Linked DNA regions of Oryctolagus cuniculus. The protein of the gene in region 2 interacts with the protein of the main gene of each other region in a pairwise test. Links are inferred from orthologs where the notes say so. Each region holds a gene or a part of one and is shown on either strand. Other genes may lie near its edges.

What was found.
Region 1: the proteins of POLR3C (region 2) and POLR3GL interact in binary tests that used the Homo sapiens proteins (3 or more experiments, as listed by UniProt). The link is inferred for Oryctolagus cuniculus from reciprocal best matches to the Homo sapiens genes POLR3C and POLR3GL.

Annotation. Positions count from the first base shown.
Region 1 is NC_091438.1:48,927,976-48,932,095, reverse strand, and holds the start of POLR3GL (DNA-directed RNA polymerase III subunit RPC7-like), read left to right. Parts: upstream 1-1,527; intron 1,528-2,033; 5' UTR 2,034-2,128; exon of another isoform or gene 2,129-2,219; intron 2,220-2,440; exon of another isoform or gene 2,441-2,570; intron 2,571-4,120. Other genes in the region: ANKRD34A (ankyrin repeat domain-containing protein 34A), read right to left, coding at 1-1,411. UniProt on the Homo sapiens protein: DNA-dependent RNA polymerase catalyzes the transcription of DNA into RNA using the four ribonucleoside triphosphates as substrates. Specific peripheric component of RNA polymerase III which synthesizes small RNAs, such as 5S rRNA and tRNAs.
Region 2 is NC_091438.1:49,059,284-49,062,843, reverse strand, and holds part of POLR3C (DNA-directed RNA polymerase III subunit RPC3), read left to right. Parts: coding exon 1-56; intron 57-1,550; coding exon 1,551-1,806; intron 1,807-1,915; coding exon 1,916-2,101; intron 2,102-2,655; exon of another isoform or gene 2,656-3,560. UniProt on the Homo sapiens protein: DNA-dependent RNA polymerase catalyzes the transcription of DNA into RNA using the four ribonucleoside triphosphates as substrates.

The DNA.
Region 1 (4,120 bases), about 130 kb from region 2:
GGCGTCTCACCAGCTTGCGCTTGGTCCTGGGAGAGCCTGGCGCCCCCGCATGCGGAGGGGCAGGCAGCGAAGGCGCCCGACCTCCGGCTTGGGGACGAATGTCGGGGATGGGAGGGTGGGGGCTGACGTTGAGCGGAGGCAGGAAACCTGGGCGCGTTTGCGAGATGTGGTCCAGGAGCAACGTCCCGGAGCCCCTCCGCTCCAGCAGCCCGGGGCTCCGCCTCCGTCCGCTCAGCGGCGATACAGCCCCGGGCAGACTCTCCTGGGACTGGCGCGGGGAGGGAGCCGAGCCGGCTAGAGGGAGGGTCAGCGGGGAGGCGCTGTATCGGCGACGCTCCAGGGACAGGCGACTGGACTCGGGCGAGTCGGGGCAAAGATGTCCGGGGGTGTCGAGCTCCACCGGCTCCATGCGGCTGAGCTTCTGCCTCAACCCCGAGGCTGGGCCAGACTCCTGAGCCTCGGGCGCTGTGTTCCGGCGCGAGAGAGGCCCCCCGCCCGTCACTTTCTCCGCCCACGGGGGCGGGTCCTCCGGGCCTTCGGTGCTGTGACGTCGGGAAAGACGGGGTCTGCCGCTCAGGGTCAGCCCGTTGAAGTCGGCGGTCAAGCGCTCGATCCCCGGCCTCCCTTCGGCGGGCGGAACCGGCTGTGGAGGGGCCACCAGGCCCCAGGGCTCGGAGTTGAGCCTTTTGAGTGGTTTCGGGGGATGGCGGGGCGGTTTGGGGAGAGGCTCTGAAGGGGAAGGGTCATCGGGGGGTTTAGGAAGAGGGAATTCGAATACGTCCCGCTTCTCCTCCTCCTCCTGGGCGCGAGGGGACAACAAGCCACGCCCTCCTCCTGCAGTCTGCAACTGGATTTCTGAAGGCGACGTGCAGACTCCCGGGCTAGGTGGAGCGGGAGCAGGATCCTCCACCCCCGGGGACGGTGGAGAATTGAGATACTGCCGCGTCTTCTTGGTGCCCGAGGGCGACGTATCGGTAGTGATGATGATGACCTCCGTGCCCTTGGCCTTGCAGGCGTCCAGCAGTGTGGCGAGGGTCTCGCGGTCCCCACGGTCCAGGGCGTGGACAAGCGCCGAGGCGCCTGCGTGATCTCTGACGGAGGGGTCTGCGCCGTGCTCCAGGAGCAGCGAAGCCACCGCGGCGCCCCCACCTCCGGCGCAAGCATGCATGAGAGCCGTGCGCCCTAGGCGGTCTGCGATGTTGGGGTCCGCGCCTTGCTCCAGGAGGTAGCGTACCATGCGCGCCTTGTTCTGGGGGTCGTCGTAACGGGCCCGACAGGCCGCCATTAGCGCAGTCTCCCCCTGGGCATCGCCCTCATTCACGTAGGCGCCCCCCTCCAGAAGCAAACGGGCCAAACGCAGCTTACCCTGACCCACAGCCCGAAGCAGAGCGTGGCCCTCGGTGTGCAGCATAGCTGCGGCTGGAGAGAGGGCACTGATGGAGCCGGGTCTGGGACCTGCCGCAGATGGCTAGGGGTCTGGGGGTGGTGCTTGACAGAGGCCTGGGGTCTCAGTGATGAAGCTGAACCCTACAAGAAAGAGATGGATCATATTGGCGGATTCAGCAAGGAAACTGAGGCACCGCTGGAGGCGTCCGGTGTGAGGCGACACACAGTCCTGCCTCTAACTCGTGCCTTGGAGCCTCCCCTTCCCCCCAGCGCATGCCTGAGGAGGTGGGAAGGGTGCACCCGCGCTGAAGGGTGAGCGCGCGTGCAGCTGCGTACGTGCACGCGCAGAGACATCCGTACCCCCACTCTCACCCCCACGGCTTCTCAGACCTTTCCAGCATCCCCCTTTTCTTACCCACACTTGGAATCCCCCTTTCTAGGATGCTGAACGCCACCCACCCACACACATGCTCCCGTATAAACACATATTCCCATTCCTAACCTCTTTTAGGTTGCCACAGCCCCAAAAATTGAGTAGGGGGAGGGAAGCAGCTTGCATTTGGGACCTAAAACGGGTGGAGGGAGAATTGGGGGTTTCTTTTGCTCCTGCTGTATTCCCCATCACTCCTTGCTCTTTCCCCTCCCAGGCTGTGCACCCAAATAGATACCTGAATGTCCGCAGAATCTCTGCCTGGCCAGGATTGAGGCCGTGTTCACCGGACAGCCGGGGTGGCGGAGCCAGGTTCCCAGGGGCCCACATGGCGTGGGGGGGCACCCGATTCCCTTGGTGTCAGAATCTGCGCCCCGGCACCGGATCCTGGTCCCTCCTCCCGGTGCGCCCCGGGCACAGCGCCGGCTCGGGAGGAGAGAAGCTGGGGGGGCGGGGGGGAAGGGGGCGGAGCTCTCCTATGCTATTTATAGCCCAGTCTCTGCGGGTGGGGGCGTCCGGCAGCAAACCGCTCCCCCACTCATGCACACATAAACCCTGAAAAACCTGGAGGCTCCAATCTTGACTTCCCTTATCTGAGCCGACCTCCCCTAAGCCCCAACAAACCTAAAGTGTCCCTTAGGGGACGACTCCGAGACCACGACAGCGACCATCCGAATTCTCGGCAGAGCCTCAGCAGATCTCCATTCTCCGCATTTGGTGTGCTTGTGCGCCAGACTTAACCTGTCACACACCGCACATGACACACTGTGCAGAGGGGTGTAGCCAGTCGATTGGGATCCGGAGCCGGCATCCATACGGTAGTGTGCAGAGAAACGGGAGGTCTGACTGCCTTCTTGCAGTTGAAATCCCTGGTAGATCACGGTCCAGTCAGGAATCAGACAGGGAGGTACATCACTACCCCACCTCCACCAAAAGGGGACACACAGCACAGAGAGCCTCAGCTCCTTTATGCAGACCCCTTAGATGAGCAGGAAGGAAAGTGGATGTCTGGGGGCATTTTTACATAGGGCGAGGGGCGTTCCCAGGTGCCGCCTCCTTCTAATCTTGGGAGGAGAGACCTACTAGAAAGGGGGCAGGGAAAGGAGGGAACCAAGTAACACCTTCTCTCATTGCATTTCCTTACTCTCAGTCTTGCTTAGACTCTTTATTTTTCCATCTTGCTTGAAGGTCTCTATTCTGGTTGCTCTTGGTGTTTTCTGTCTTCCTATCTGTCACTATCTGTCTCTCTCACTGTCTGCCTCTCCTTGCCACCTGCCCTGTCTCCATGGTTACCATAGCTTCCATCTGCATATTTTAGGAATGAATTTCTGTCCAGCTGGAAGGTACCAAGGGAAATGGGGGAACGAGGAAAGAATGCTAAGGATCTGAAAAGTTCACCTAGGGTCCTGAGATAATTTAGACTGGAGGTCCGCAGACACAAGTGTCTAAAAATAACATCCCTGGGGCTCATGAAGTGGTCTAGCAACATAAGGGAAGGCCTGTTACCAGGCATCCTGTATAAGTTCTGGTTCAAATCCTGGTGGCTCCATTTGCAACCCAACTCCCTGCTATTGCGCCTGGAAAAGCAGTGAAAGTGACTCACGTGAGAGACCTGGATGGAGTTCCTGTCTCCAGATTTCAGTTTGGCTTCCTGTCTCCAGATTTCAGTTTGGCTCAGCCCTGGCTATTGTAGCCATCTGGAGAATGAACCAGTGGTTGGAAAATCTTTTATTTCCTCTCTGTAACTCTTCTTCTTCTTCTTCTTCTTTTTTTTTTTTTTTTTTTTTTTTTTTTTACTTTTGACAGGCAGAGTGGACAGCGAGAGAGAGAGAGAGAGAGAGAGACACCCCCAATGGCCGACGCGGCGGGCGCATCGCACTGATCCAAAGCCAGGAGCCAGGTGCTTCTCCTAGTCTCCCATGGGGTGCAGGGCCCAAGCACTTGGGTCATCCTCCACTGCACTCCTGGGCCATAGCAGAGAGCTGGCCTGGAAGAGGGGCAACTGGGACAGAATCCGGCGCCCCAACCAGGACTAGAACCCGGTGTGCCGGCGCCACAAGGCGGAGGATTAGCCTATTGAGCCACGGCGCTGGCCTGTAACTCTTTTTTTTTTTTTAAAGATTTATTTTATTTATTTGAAAGGCAGAGTTAGAGAGAGAGGTAGAGAGAGAGAGAGAGAGAGAGGTCTTCCATCCACTGGTTCACTCCCCAACTGGCCACAACAGCCAAAACTGTTTCGCTCTGAAGCCAGGAGCCAGGAGCTTCTTCCAGGTCTTCCATGCAGGTACATGGGCCCAGGCACTT
Region 2 (3,560 bases):
CTGGCAGCCAGCCGCTAAGAGTAATTGTCCATGACACGGGAACATCACCGGATCAGGTATGTTTAGGTGACATTAATTTGCTCTCTTTCACCTGCCTTTGAATGGTGTTCCTCCCTACCCTAGAAAATGAAGGCAGAAAGCCTGCCCTAGGATCAGAACAGTGTTGCTTGAGGGGAAAGAGGATGAAACTTAGGTCCCAGGGTTTTGTTTCTCAAAGTGTTCCTAATTCATCAAGGCTTCTTAAACAAATCTTGGAGCTGGTGCTGTGGCACAGTAGGTTAATCCTCTGCCTGTGGCACCAGCATCCCATATGGGTGCTGGTTCTAGCCCCAGCTGCTCCTCTTCCAATCCAGCTGCCTTCTATGGCCTGGGAAAGCAGTAGAAGGCCCAAGTCCTTGGGCCCCTGCACTCGTGTAGGAGACCTGGAAGAAGTTCCTGGCTCTGGTCCAGCTCCAGCTGTTTGGACCACCTAGCAAATGGAAAACCTCTCTCTCTCTGCCTCTCTGTAACTCTTTCAAATAAAATAAATAAATAAATCTTGAGGCCAGTGCTGTGGCGCAGTAGGTTAATCCTCTGCCTGTGGCACCAGCATCCCATATGGGCTCCAATTTGAGTCCCAGCTGCTCTTCTTCCAGGCCAGCTCTCTGCTATGGCCTGGAAAAGCAGTAGAAGATGGCCCAAGTGCTTGGGCCCCTGCACCTGCACAGGAAACCGGGAAGAAGCTTCTGACTCTTGACTTAGGATCGGCACAGTTCCAGCCATTGTGGCCATTTGGGGAGTGAACCAGCGGAAGGAAGACCTTACTCTCTGTCTCTCCCTCTTAATTGTCTGTAATTCTACATCTCAAATAAATAAAATCTTTTTTAAAAAATAAATAAATCTTTAAAAAAAGAAGCAAATATTTGCTCTTCCCATTCCATATCTGATTTATTTTCAATAAGTCTACTAATCTCAGTACTATCTTTAAGGAATGAAAATGATATAAAGTAAATTATAGTTCAAAAGATAAGGACCAGAGGAAATATGAGTATCAAAGCAAGGATGGCCCCGATTTCTTCTGTTGGCGTGTTGTTATTATTAGCTCCTGGATCAGAAAGAGGAAATAAGCACATGTTCTTTCTTTTCTTTTCCTTTTTTTTTTTTTTTTTACATTTATTTATTTGAAAGATGGAGTTACAGAGAGAGGGAGAGATAGAGAGAAAGGTCTTCCATCCACTGGTTCACTTCCCAAATGGCCTCAATGGTTGGGACTGAGCCTGGACAAAGCCAGGAGCTTCTTCCAGGTCTCCCACTCGGGTGCAGGGGCCCAGGCACTTGGGCCATCTTCCACTGCTTTCCCAGGCCAGAGCAGAGAGCTGGATTGGAAGTAGAGCAGCCAGAACTCGAAACAGCACCCATTTGGGATGCTGGCACTGTAGGTGGCAGCTTTATCCGCTACACCACAGTGCATCTAGCTGAATCTTGATGCTTAGTAAGCTGTTGAACCAAAAAGTTGGCAGCAATAATGAGCTCTGTCTTCAGATCCTTTCTCTCTTTTGGGCCCTGTCTAGGTGAAGAAAGCCCTTTGCGTCCTCATCCAACATAACCTGGTGATATATCAAGTGCACAAGCGCGGTGTAGTGGAGTATGAAGCCCAGTGCAGCCACATGTTGCGAATGCTTAGGTATCCGCGGTACATCTATACTACCAAAACACTGTACAGTGATACTGGAGAGCTGATTGTTGAAGAGCTGCTGTTGAACGGCAAAATGACCATGTCCGCTGTTGTGAAGAAAGTGGCGGATCGGCTCACAGAGACCATGGAGGGTCAGTACCACATCCACAGCTATTGGCGAAAGCATAGACTGGCTGGCTACAGGAGTGAATCCCAGCTACCCTAAGCCATCTCACCTGTCTCTTTACTCCCATTGTGCAGATGGCAAGACTATGGACTATGCTGAGGTATCAAACACGTTTGTGCGACTGGCAGACACACACTTCGTACAGCGCTGTCCCGTGGTGCCTGCCACTGAGGATTCAGACTCTGGGCCTCCACCGCCTGCCCCCACGCTTGTCATTAATGAGAAAGACATGTACGTGGTTCCTAAACTGAACCTGATAGGTAAGGAATTTTGACCCCTGGAACTGTGGCTTACCCTGATTGTAGATTCTTCTTCGTTGATCGTTGAATGAATCAGTTGAGCATTTGTCAAGTATTTGCTTGATGTGTACCAGACATTATAGCCTATCATAATGAAAAATCCATGGTCCTTGCCCTTATGGGGTCTAAGTCATACAAAAGACATACATTAACCAAAAATCACTTAGATATATGACAAACTGTGGTGAGTACTATGAAGGAAAACTAGGAGGCATTCTAAAAACATATGTTGGAGAACAGGATTTGTCTGGGCACTTAGGGGTCGTGTTTCTTTGAGAAAGTGACATTTGAGCTAAGATTCAAAGCACAAGTTGGAGCTAACCAGTGAAGCAACAGAGGGTAAGCATTTTTGGCAAAGGGACTTTTTGGTAGTGAGAAAAAAAATTGGCATTTGAAGAGGTGAAAGGTAGTCAGTGTGGCTACAGCAAGGCGAACAAAGGACAAGGGGAGAAATGGGAGAAGGGTCAAGAGAAAGTCAAGAGGCTAGGTCAGGCAAGCTTACACAAGGAGTCTTCTCAGAGTTTGTGGAAAATGTATATTATGGAAACACTGTGCATGAATTTCAAAATTGTACACTCAAGTTATCTTTTTTAAAGATGTATTTACTTATTTGAAAGTCAGAGTTACACAGTGAGAGAAGGAGAGGCAGAATGAGAGAAAGAGAGGTCTTCCATCCACTGGTTCACCCCCGAATTGGCCACAACAGCCAGAGCTGCGCCAATCCGAAGCCAGGAGCCAGGAGCTTCCTCCCGGTCTCCCAGTGGGTGCAGGGGCCTAGGCACTTGGGCCGTCTTCTACTGCTTTCTCAGGCCATAGCAGAGAGCTGGATCGGAAATGGAGCAGCCCAGACTCAAACCAGTGCCCATGTGGGATGCCAGCACTGCAGGTGGTGGCTTTACCTGCTATGCTACAGCGCCAGCAGATTTTAATTCCATTTTCTACAAAATTTTTGAAATACTCTGATAGAACATCTACTCTTTATCCTAAGAGCAAAGGAAAACCACTAAAGGATTTTAAGCAGGGGAGCAACATAATCTAATTTAGATCTGTAAAAGCAATAGAAAGGATAGGAGGATGAGACAAAAGTGAATGTAGATAGCCTGGAGGAAAATTAGGTACAGAAGGGGTGAGGGAGGCAGAGGGATCCAGAATGACGTGTGTGTGTCTGACTTGTGCATGTGGGAGGATGGTGGCACCGTTCACTGAAAAAGGAAGCATTGAAAGAGGACCCAGTCTGAGGGAGAAAGATTAGGAATTCCATTTTGAACTTGCTGAACTTCAGATGACTTCATCATTTCTTTGAGTTTCTTATGGTTCTGAAGTCTCCTAAAAAACTCATAACCTAACAGCAGCCACGGATGTCTTTGGGATGAAGAGAGAGAGAGAGAGCCATTCTCAGGTCTGGTCATTCCCTGTCATC